2 linked regions of the Drosophila melanogaster genome follow. The protein of the gene in region 2 interacts with the protein of the main gene of each other region in a pairwise test. Each region holds a gene or a part of one and is shown on either strand. Other genes may lie near its edges.

The links.
Region 1: the proteins of Alas (region 2) and Uba1 interact in a two-hybrid assay, tested with the Drosophila melanogaster proteins (one large-scale study listed by BioGRID).

What each region holds. Positions count from the first base shown.
Region 1 is NT_033778.4:9,687,744-9,695,267, reverse strand, and holds Uba1 (ubiquitin activating enzyme 1), read left to right. Parts: upstream 1-1,939; 5' UTR 1,940-2,227; coding exon 2,228-2,986; intron 2,987-3,564; coding exon 3,565-5,286; intron 5,287-5,348; coding exon 5,349-5,657; intron 5,658-5,714; coding exon 5,715-6,500; 3' UTR 6,501-6,979; downstream 6,980-7,524.
Region 2 is NT_033778.4:23,963,004-23,967,279, reverse strand, and holds Alas (aminolevulinate synthase), read right to left. Parts: upstream 2,509-4,276; 5' UTR 2,396-2,508; coding exon 1,153-2,395; intron 1,009-1,152; coding exon 632-1,008; 3' UTR 523-631; downstream 1-522. Other genes in the region: CG34213 (uncharacterized protein), read left to right, coding at 1-111; Fmo-1 (Flavin-containing monooxygenase 1), read right to left, coding at 2,738-2,905, 2,970-3,505, 3,563-3,734, 3,787-3,973, 4,033-4,220.

The sequences.
Region 1 (7,524 bases), about 14 Mb from region 2:
ACATACGTATGCATGTTTATATCTCTTCGGGGGCACGCGATGCAGAATATTTGGAGGACAGATGGGCAGCAGACACCCCCGCTCATTCGCTGCAGGATCAGTATGCTAATTTGGCAGGAATTTGTGTTTTTCGGGTTATACCACGCGACAAGGACGTGGAACACACCGCACGCGATAAAGTCCGCGGCTAGTTTCTCGATCCTATCGAGATCGGACTAAAATTAGAGCGTCGGAGGAGGGAGGGGGGAATTTCTAAAACGGGAGCAGCATTTCGCGCAGCTGTAGGCGTAAATTAAAATGCATTTTACGCAACTGTGCGACAAGATCCGGGCTTTAGATCCTGCAGCTGTTGCCCCTCGTACTGCATTTTCCTAATGGCACGCTCTCAACACTTGAAAAGGACACACCCCCGCCGCTCGGAAAACTGGTATAGGATAGCTCTCTGTTTTTCGTGGAAATTTACGCATTTTCATGCTCGACTACCGTTGCACAGAACAGAAAGGGAACCCCGACCGAAAATAGATTAGCCGCTCTCAAAGGATATTGAACCCGGCCAGGACCAAGCGACACCGAAGGACTTCGCCGTGGGTCAGTTGGTGTTGGTTTGTGGGACAACTGCCGAGGGGCGCGTGCCACGATCGGGGTTTTTGGGCCAGGATAATTGCCTCAAGTGCCGACAGATTGATGACCAGCAAACTCATTGAAGTATATATTTCAATTTCGAGCTAATGGCTTAGAAGTTGATGAAATCGGAGAGTAAAGAATTATTAAATTTAAGTTTTTTGAACACACATCTATTAAGAGGTTGTTCTACGTTTGAAATATGTATTTGCTAAATTAACTTTCAATCGATATTATGTCACTCACAAAAACGAATATTCCAATATATTTTATTTATTCAAAATATTGTGAATATTGCTTTATTTATAGAAGAAGGGAACACAATTTTTGAATTGTTTAGAAAAATAAGAACGATCTATTAAATGGCATAATTCAAAAATATCAAGTTTAAGCCATATACATGTATAAGTTACTTTTAAGTTTGACCAGTACAAAGTATATAGGAATTTATAATGGGGAAGCCAAGCTATATTATAATGAATAATTATTATTATTATAATGAATAATATCAAGATATCAGGGTTGTGCTTGCACCACAATTATGAAAAATAAAGTAATGACCCAGAAGTCTGTTATCATCTATTTATAAGCAGTTTGAAACAAATTAAAACCCACTTTAAATTTTATCAAATAAATATATTACCAATATACATTTAAATTTCGAACATTACATAGCAAAAAAATGTCAATTGAAATCAACAAATTTTTGAAAATGCGAGCCATATTTTCATTAAACGAGCTTGTATTTTTTGAACCCGAACCGTTTTTTTTTTCAAGTTTAAAAAGAATTAACTAACTCTAACAAAATCTAATATTTCAGTCGGTGTAGTAAAAACATAAACATAAACGATTTCAAATGTATCCTGAATACGCGGTAAACTTGTGTTTACCAACACCGCCTCTTAGACTATTCAGGCCTGCCAGATCTCCAAAAAAATATTATTTAGATAAGTTAGTGACACAAAAGGTTTAAGTCTTAACTGCGCTTAGCTGGGCTTTAAACCCACTGCCTATTCTTTGCTAATTGGAGTATTGCAAATCAGTTTTGAATCTGATTTATTTGTCCCGCTTACCAATTTTAATTGTGTAAATTCATTTGGTTTTACTTGGCCAACTTACAAATAATAGAATAATAAAAATGAAAGCCGTCTGTTTAATTATTAAAATAATGTGAATTAATTGGATTATTAATCTGGGCGTTATTATATAGAAAAGAAACCTAACTAACCAATTGCGGAAATATCGATAGCATCGCAATAAAATCTATATTGTGCCACCTCCAATTCACACAGGTCGGTCACACTGGGCAGGCTTGCCAATTTCAAGAGCCGCGGCCACACTACTGCGAATTCTATACTGCAACTCGATCGTGCGTGTTCTGTATTTTTGGGAGTGCGTTGTTAGAAATTCGGCCACAAATAGAATCCGCTGTCCTGGAACGAGTCAGAAACCACGGGAAATTGACTTCCGGACTAAATAGCGTTCTTGTGTGTCCATCCGTGTGCGTGTGTCCGCATTCTGCAGTGTGCGTGTGTGCGAAAGAGAGAGGGCGAGCGGTGCAGCCGCAACTGGGAAATTCGATTGCCAATATTTCAGCAAGGAAGCTATGTCGAGCGGTCAGCAATTGATGGCCGATTCGCCAGCCTGCAGCTCAAGTGACCATTCGCCGCTGGCCAAAAAAAGGCGTTTAGAGTTGTTGGGTGACGGAGTGGGGGCAATGGGAATGGAAGAGGAAGAAGCCGGCGGAGCAACGAGCAGCAGTAGCAGCAACAACTACGAAAATCACGACAAAGCAGGCGGCGTTGACATTTCGGGCAAGTGCCAGAGCAAGACGACTAGCGAGCACCAGCTGGAATTGTGCGTATCGTCGTCTACCTCTGACACATGCGGCGTTAATGCTGCGGCGAAGCGAGCCGAAAAGCAGAAACTGAAACAGAGCCAAGGAAGCGGCGACGACGTTAGTACCTCGTCAGCAGTGGAAAAGGAAGGAAGCAAGCGGCCGGAGAAGCGCAATTACCTGAACACCACCACAATAGAATCGCAAGAAGCCTCCTCCAGTGCATCCGCCACTAGCAACAGCAACAACAACGTCAGCTCCAGCAACAATAACAGTAATAACAGCACTAATAACCGACAACTGGAAGGAAGCAGCAACATGGCTGGAAACAGTGCCGCCGCCGGCGGAGATATCGATGAATCGCTGTACTCGCGCCAATTGTACGTCCTGGGTCACGATGCGATGCGTCGGATGGCCAATTCGGATATCCTTCTGTCGGGACTTGGAGGACTCGGCCTGGAGATAGCCAAGAATGTGATTCTGGGCGGCGTGAAATCGATCACCTTGCATGACACAGCAACTTGTGGGGTATGTGTGTGGGGCGAAGAAAAAATCGATAATTTTCCAGGCGGACGCGGGAAATGCCCGGAAAGGCTGACTTGGCATCCCTGGTCTTAGTGAATCATTCAGTTTTTATTTGATTTATTTATCATAGACTTCGCGCGAAATAAGGTTAGGTTAACATCTCTATTTGCTTGCAAAAAATTCGTTTTGTGTGTGTAATTCGGTTTTCCTTCTTTTTCTATTTGCCTCAAAATGTCTGCGCCATGCGAAAAGTGTGTGAGCGGGACAACCGTATGCGCATCGCTCGCTGCCGTTGTGTTTGCATTCCCCTTTGCTCAACGCATTCGGTTTTGTTTTATGCACTGAAAGATTCAACTTAAGATCTATGAGTTTCTCATAAACCGTAATATATCAATTATTTAGTTAATAGCCTTTCAATTTAAAGTTTTCTTGTATCATAAAAACTTTTTTGTTCTAATGACAAATATGTCTTTGCTGTACACTCGGCACAGAACCAATTTTCCTTTGTTAGTCATGGCTCCCGTCTGCTAATTTCATCACCGTTGATATATAATATTAATGATTATTCGTTTGTCTTGCAGCTCCATGACTTGTCGTCGCAATTCTATCTCACGGAAGCCGATATCGGCAAGAATCGTGCGGAGGCCTCTTGCGCCCAGTTGGCCGAGTTAAACAACTATGTGCGCACCGTTTCGCACACGGGGCCGCTTACCGAGGAGTTCCTGCGCAAGTTTCGCGTTGTGGTACTGACCAACTCCGACGGGGAGGAGCAGCAGAGGATCGCCAAGTTTGCCCATGAAAATGGCATTGCTCTGATCATCGCCGAGACGCGCGGACTGTTCGCCAAGGTGTTCTGTGACTTTGGCGAGAGCTTTACCATTTACGATCAGGATGGCACACAGCCGATCTCCACCATGATAGCTAGTATCACGCACGACGCACAGGGAGTCGTCACCTGCCTGGACGAGACGCGCCATGGTTTTAATGACGGTGACTACGTCACCTTCTCGGAGGTGCAGGGCATGCAGGAACTGAACGGTTGTCAGCCCCTTAAGATCACAGTGCTGGGACCCTACACATTTAGCATCGGTGATACCAGCAAGTTTGGAGAATATAAGAGCGGAGGAGTGGCCACCCAGGTGAAGATGCCCAAGACCATCAGCTTCAAGCCCCTGGCACAGGCCACTGAGGAGCCGGAGTTTTTGATCTCCGATTTCGCAAAGCTGGACTCGCCGGCCACGCTGCACGTGGCCTTCAATGCCCTCTCCTGCTACCGCAAGGCCCATAATGGAGCCTTACCGCGTCCCTGGAACGAGGAGGACGCCAACAGCTTCCTCGAGGTAGTCCGAGCCAGCAGCAACGCGGAAGTCGACGAAAAACTGGTGCTGCAATTCGCCAAAATCTGCTCGGGTAATACGTGCCCGCTGGACGCGGCCGTTGGTGGAATTGTGGCCCAGGAGGTGCTTAAGGCCTGCAGTGGAAAGTTTACACCCATCTACCAGTGGTTGTACTTTGACGCCCTGGAGTGTCTGCCCACAGAGGGTGTCGAGGAGGCGGATGCCCAGCCGGTGGGCTCGCGCTATGATTCTCAGATTGCCATATTTGGCAAGAAGTTCCAGGAGAAGTTGGCTGACTCGAAATGGTTTATTGTCGGCGCCGGAGCCATTGGTTGTGAGCTATTGAAAAACTTTGGAATGCTGGGCCTGGGAACTGGCAATGGCCAGATTTTCGTCACAGACATGGATCTCATTGAGAAGTCGAATCTGAACCGGCAGTTCCTGTTCCGCCCGCATGATGTGCAGAAGCCTAAATCAATGACGGCCGCCGACGCTATCAAACGGATGAATCCGGAAGTGAATGTCACCGCATACGAGTTGCGCGTTGGCGCCGAAACAGAGAAAGTCTTTTCCGAAGATTTCTTTGGAAAGTTGGATGGTGTAGCCAATGCGCTGGACAACGTGGATGCTCGCATATATATGGATCGCAAATGCATCTTCAACCGCATTCCGCTCGTCGAGACCGGAACTCTGGGAACTTTGGGCAACGTTCAGGTGATTGTGCCCTTTGCCACCGAATCTTATAGCTCCTCCCAGGATCCCCCAGAAAAGAGTATTCCCATCTGCACGCTGAAGAACTTCCCCAATGCCATCGAGCACACTCTGCAGTGGGCGCGTGACGCCTTTGAGGGCGTCTTCAAGCAGTCTGCAGAAAATGCTGCTCAGTACATCGCCGATCCTCAGTTCACCGAGCGAATCGCCAAGCTGCCTGGTATTCAGCCTCTGGAGATCCTCGATTCCATCAAGGTAAGGATAGAATTTACTTCTTTGCCTAATATGTTGTACTTAATGGTAATTTATTTTTACAGAAAGCTCTGATCGACGACAAACCCAAGAGTTTCGCGCACTGCGTGGAGTGGGCCCGTCTTTATTGGGAGGATCAATATGTTAACCAGATTAAGCAGTTGCTCTTTAACTTCCCACCTGATCAGATCACCTCCAGTGGTCAGCCGTTTTGGTCTGGTCCCAAGCGGTGCCCCGATCCCCTGGTCTTTGATGTCAACGATCCCATGCACCTCGACTTTATCTACGCAGCCGCCAATCTTCGAGCTGAGGTCTATGGCATTGAGCAGGTTCGCAATCGCGAGACGATCGCAGAGCTGGTACAGAAGGTTAAGGTTAGTTGTTCGAGATTAATACCGTCGGGGACCATTTCTGATATTATTGATTTATAGGTGCCCGAGTTTAAACCCCGTTCGGGCGTGAAAATAGAAACCAATGAGGCAGCAGCCGCCGCCTCGGCCAATAACTTCGATGACGGCGAGTTGGACCAGGATCGCGTTGACAAGATCATTTCAGAGCTGCTAAAGAACGCCGACAAAAGCTCCAAGATCACGCCACTTGAGTTTGAAAAGGACGACGACAGTAACTTGCACATGGACTTCATTGTGGCCTGCTCAAATCTACGCGCCGCCAACTACAAGATTCCGCCAGCGGATCGCCACAAGTCCAAGTTGATTGCTGGCAAAATCATACCTGCTATTGCCACCACCACGTCGGTGCTCTCTGGATTGGCTGTGCTCGAGGTGATTAAGCTGATCGTCGGCCACCGGGATCTCGTAAAATTCAAGAACGGCTTCGCCAACTTGGCATTGCCGTTCATGGCCTTCTCTGAGCCGCTTCCTGCCGCCAAGAACACATACTACGGCAAGGAGTGGACGCTGTGGGACCGTTTTGAGGTGACCGGGGAGCTGTCGCTGCAGGAATTCCTCAACTATTTCGAGGAGAATGAGAAGCTTAAGATCACCATGCTCTCGCAGGGCGTGTCCATGCTGTACTCGTTCTTCATGCCCAAGGCCAAGTGCTCTGAGAGACTGCCGTTGCCGATGTCGGAGGTCGTGCGTCGCGTGTCCAAGCGTCGCCTGGAGCCACACGAGCGATCCCTGGTTTTCGAGATCTGCTGCAACGATGTGGATGGCGAGGATGTGGAGGTGCCCTACGTCCGTTACACGCTGCCCTAAGCCCGTCTATATTCCTAATTTAACCATTAAATTATTTTACGATCCCGTTTTGTTGTCGGCGACGCGTTTTGGAATCGCGCAGCTCCAACGAAGGAGTTACTGTCTAGCTGTTTGCATTTTAATTTTCACAACACCATTACGAGAGCAGCCCAGATCTAGAAATTATATAAAATGTGTGTGAATCCTCTAAGGAATGGCAAAATAATACGCATCATACGAAATACAAAGACTCGACTAAAAGCAACACTTAAAATGCATCTGATGAAACTCTCTGCTCAGCATAGTTGTAAAGGTAACGAATTACGAAAAACCGAAGGCGGATTTTAATCGCATTGATTAATTGGAAATTGAAAACTGAATGAGCCAGGCGGAAAATTTCTCTTCACTCATATATTTTTTTTATATGGAAGCATAAACTAATTACGTCATTGTATTAAAAGGAGTAAAGCAAATGAATAAAGCTGTATATTTCATATGGTAATCGACCTGCTAGACGACTCAGATAATTTCGTTCAGCACTTGACGTCTGGTAATCTCATTTCCCCCGCCACTTCGGAAATTAAAATTGTAATGCATACTGCTCTGCCAGTGAAGTATATAGGGGATGCCATCTATCCGTACGCCAGTCAGTTTCAGAAAGTTACGTGACACAATTAAATATTTTATGCCCTCTCAAGACGTTTATACCACCCCCGCCCCGCACCCAAGGAGGCTGCTGCCACCAAAGTGCAATTGGCAAGTGCCGTAAAGTTGCACCGCTCATGGAAAGCGTTGGGCGGAGTGGCGGCGTCCTCTTATAATTAAATATTACACGCAATGCAACTGAAGTATGGCCAAAGTTATGCAGTTTCGCATCTCACTCTTGGCCTTTTGCGGCTTTTTGGCAAACTTGCTTGAATTATGCAGTTAATGAAAACAAAGCGAGGCGAGGAAAGTGGCTGCGCCGATCAGCTTTGTATCCGTCGAATAAGTGTGTTCTGGGCAGGGTAATCAAAGTTTTGGGTTTGTAGTTCGACTCCTTAGG
Region 2 (4,276 bases):
ATTGCGGAATCAGTCCGGGAAAACCCCTGCTCAAAGCTAAAGTTCGTCTTCGAGTCCAGCACCGATCTATTTGGTAGAATCATTGTTTACGATCTCCAGCTGTTCGGCTAGTCTCTGACCCAATAGATCTTACTAAATGTGTACAAAATCTTCTCTAATCAAAGTGTATAAAATCGGATCATTATCTATTGTGGTATTATCAAAAACATTGGTCCGTAATAGGATGGTCATGGTTATCAGCAATAATTGTGCTGATTCAGCCTGCCACTGCTGAAATTGATATGCGACTAATTTCATATAAATATTTCAAACTAGGTAAGCCCTTTAAGTGCTTACGAGTGTGGATCAAGGTTCAATGAAAATATTTCCACGCGATTCCCCAATTTGAATATCATTTGCATGGAGCTGGCTCGAAAAACACGCAACTTCATAGCGAAGGTGACACTCTAGTCCATGTCTTATCACCCCATATAGAAGCGTCATCAATCAGCTTAGCCCATTCCAATTGAAATTTCGTCATTTATGTATATTGCACCAAAACCATTGTTTATTTGTCCAAAACCGCACAGATAATTTAGGCATAGCTTTATGATTCGAATGCTTCATTTATAGTCGTGTTTCCAAGAGGCAACTATGCTGCAAGCGAGATCTCCAGGCGAGGGCAGTTGGGAATGCCACACTCCAGATCCGGGGAGGTGTCCTGGTGCCAGCAGCTCTCCGAGTTGCAGAACATGCATGCGTTGGGCGAAAGAGGGACGTTTGTAGAGAGGTCCACCATTTCCCACACTTTCTTTAGATCGGTAACCAGGGCGTTCATCATTTCAAAAGTGTGGAACGGGGTGGGGGCCAGCCGCAATTTCTCCTGGCCCCGGGCGACGGTTGGGTAGTTAATCGACTGCAGGTAGTGTCCGAATTGTTCGATCAGCACGTTTGAGATTTGACTGCTCTTCAGAGGGTCTCCGATCTTAATGGGAATGATGTGGCTGGGCGTTTCTTCGACGGGGAAACCTGAAATGGGGCCAATTATATATGCAGTCAGTAAACTGAAAGTTAAGTGTCTCTTTCTATATTTATAGCCATCACTTAAAATAAAACGAAAGTGCGAGAATAACCTTCAATTCGAGTTACATAAATGCCAGAATTACGTCTTACCTTCTCGCTTCAGCAGGCTCTTCAGGTAGGAGACGTTCCGTTGGTGCAAGTGGCGCAGCTGGCGACCCTCCTCCGATGCCAGGATATTGACGGCCTCCAGGGCGCCACACAGTACAGTCGGCGGTAGTGAGGTGGTGAAGATGAAACCGGCCGCATACGACCGAATCATGTCGACCAGGTTATGGGTGCCAGCTATGTAGCCACCAATATTACCGAACGCCTTGCCCAGGGTGCCCGATATGATGTCCATTTTGTGCAGCACACCATCCCGCTCACCGACCCCGGCCCCGTGGTCACCGTACAATCCCACGGCGTGCACCTCGTCGATGAACGTGATGGCCCCGTGCTCGTGGGCCACGTCAAGCAGCTCCTCGAGCGGGCAGATGGCCCCCGTCATGGAATGTACCGTCTCGAATGCGACGATCTTGGGCACGCTTTTGTCCGTCTGCTTCAGCAGCTGATGCAAGTGGTCCACGTCGTTGTGCCGGAAGATGTGCTTGGGAACCCCGCTGTTCCGTATGCCCATAATCATGGAAGCGTGGTTCCCTGCGTCCGAGAAGATCTCGCACCCAGGTAAGAGCTTGGCGAGCGTAAAGAGAGTGGAATCGTTGGCCACGAAGCACGACGTGAACAGCAGCGCAGCCTCCTTCTGGTGGAGCTCAGCCAGCTTACTCTCGAGGCGCTCGTGGTGAAGAGAGTTACCCGAAATGTTCCTGGTGCCGCCAGCCCCCGATCCGTGCCTATTGAGCGCGTCCTGGACGGCCCTCTTGACGCCGGGGTGGGCGGACATTCCCAGGTAGTCATTGGAGCACCACACCGTAATGGGCTTTTCCGTCCGCTCCGAGTACTCCAGGGCGTGGGGGAAAAGCCCGTCGCCTGCCAGGCGGTTCACCTTCTTGAAGACCCTGTAGGAATGGTCCCGCTTCTTCTTCATGATCTGCTCGTTGAAGAAGCGCTCGTAGGGAAAGGTCTCCTTGGCGGATGCCTTGCCAGGATCGGCAGAGGCGGGGGCGGAGACGGGAGCGGTGGCGTTGGCAGTTGCGGGGCCACCAGCATTGGCGTGGGCGTTCGCCCCCGTCGAGTGAGACCTTGTAACACTTGCGGCGACGAGTGAAAGTTTCTTCTCGCCGGATACCAAGGTCTTCCCAACCACGGGACAGTGGCTCCCGTAGGATTGGCACAGCGTCTCCGCGTAGTTGCGGATGAAGCTGGCGGTGAAGCGGTTCAAGAACGGACACTGCATGACGAGGCGCTATTCCACTTTTGAAGACCCGACCTAAATCAGCGAACTTTGAAAGCGAAGTGAGGTGTTCCGAAAATTATGCAAGAAGGTGATTGCGAGGAGGCGGGCGAGTGTGGCCAGAGCTGGTGAATGTGCGCTGCCCGCAATCAGCTGTTTGGAAAAATACCAACAAACATGTTCAAACAAATGTTTGCCGGTGTTCAAAAAGTTTTTGTTCGAGAATAAAAGCTCATTTTTTAAACTGTTGTTTTGGAATACAAGAATTGGAAATTTATTTTATTTCGAAGGGAAGTCCAAAAACGATGTTTTGGAATCTAATGCTCCTATTGATTGATTCAGGATCTAGTTGAGTTTAATGAATGTCTCGTCGTCCAGAATCGCGAAATTGTCCTCCCGGAAGTGGAGCAAATTCTCATTGAAGCACTTGCTGCTTTCGTTGTGCAATTTGGTCATCACAGGCTTGATGTTCTTAACTCCTGCAGTTTGCGACAAGTCCGTGAAATAGTCGATCTTGATAATAAATGAGAATAGAATTAATAACCAGATAGAGAAGTAAAGCCAACTTGCATCGCACTTGCTTGGGACCCAGCATGTGGGCATGGCGTTTTCTTAGTCCCTCCGCCCACAGTTTGCCCATCCTATCGCGGGTGTCCTTGAGCATATCCTCCGTGGACGGCAACTCGTTGGATCCGTTGTAGTAGCTCATGATGAACCTCGCTTGGATGTCCATCATTTGGGCGGCACAAACGTAAAACGGCAGTCCGATCAGAGCCATGGATGGGTTCCTGATGTTGATGCACTGCTTGTACAGCTCCTGGACGTAGTTGTCCTCCACATAGATGCCCGAGTCGACGGTCAGGAAGGGAAAGGCGTACTTGTAACCTGTGCAAAAGAAGACGGTGTCGAACTCCTGGTACGATCCGTCCACGAAAAAGGCTCCCTTCTCATCGAGCTCCCGCACATCGGGTTTCTGCTGTACGTTCTCGAAGAATGAGTGTTGCCCGATATCGGTCAAGTGGTGACTTATGGTGACCCGATCCGCCGTTCGGGAAATGATGTTCGACAGGTCCATGCCACTGGGACCAGCTCCAATGACCAGAACGGATTTACCTTGAGCAGAATGGAACACCATGTGAAATAACCTAATAGAAGTTATTCCTTAATTACCTTCGAAAACCTCCCTACTTCTGAAGTCGTGGCTGTGCAGGAACTGCCCTTTAAACCTTTCCATATTCGGAATTTGGCTATAATTCGGAGTGTGGTAGTGGCCATTGGCCACCAAGACCTTGTCGAAGTACTGGAACTCTATCTTGTTGGTGACCAAGTCTTTGAAAAGTACCTGCAAACGTTTCAGTTAAGTGGTTATATATAAAGCTGACTCCACGACTTACTTGCCACTTTGTTTTCCTCTGCAAAACTCGAATCACATAGCTATCGAACTTGATGTGCTTCTTCAGGTCGAAATGGTTCGCGTATTGGTTAAGGAAGTCGCAGATCTCGTCGGATCTCACATAGGAAGCCTCGTTTGCCCCGATTTCGAAGTCCGGGAAGCCCATTACCTCCTTGGGCAGGTTGGTTCTTTGAAGAGGCCCGGAAACTCTTAGAATATCAAATGGTTTTTCGAAAGATTTACGTACCGTAGGTTCTTGTACATGCTGCTGTGGACATCGATGCCATTGACCGCCCCTGTTGCCTCATTGTAAACCCAGGTGCCGCCGATTCGGTCAGATAGCTCGAACACAGTGGTCTCGAACCCATTTGCAATCGAATGGCGGGCACAGCAAAGACCCGCGGTTCCGGCCCCAATTATGCAAACGCTCATCATATTACAGTATTGGTTACAGCTTATATTAATTTTAATTGCTAGCTGCGATCCTAAGT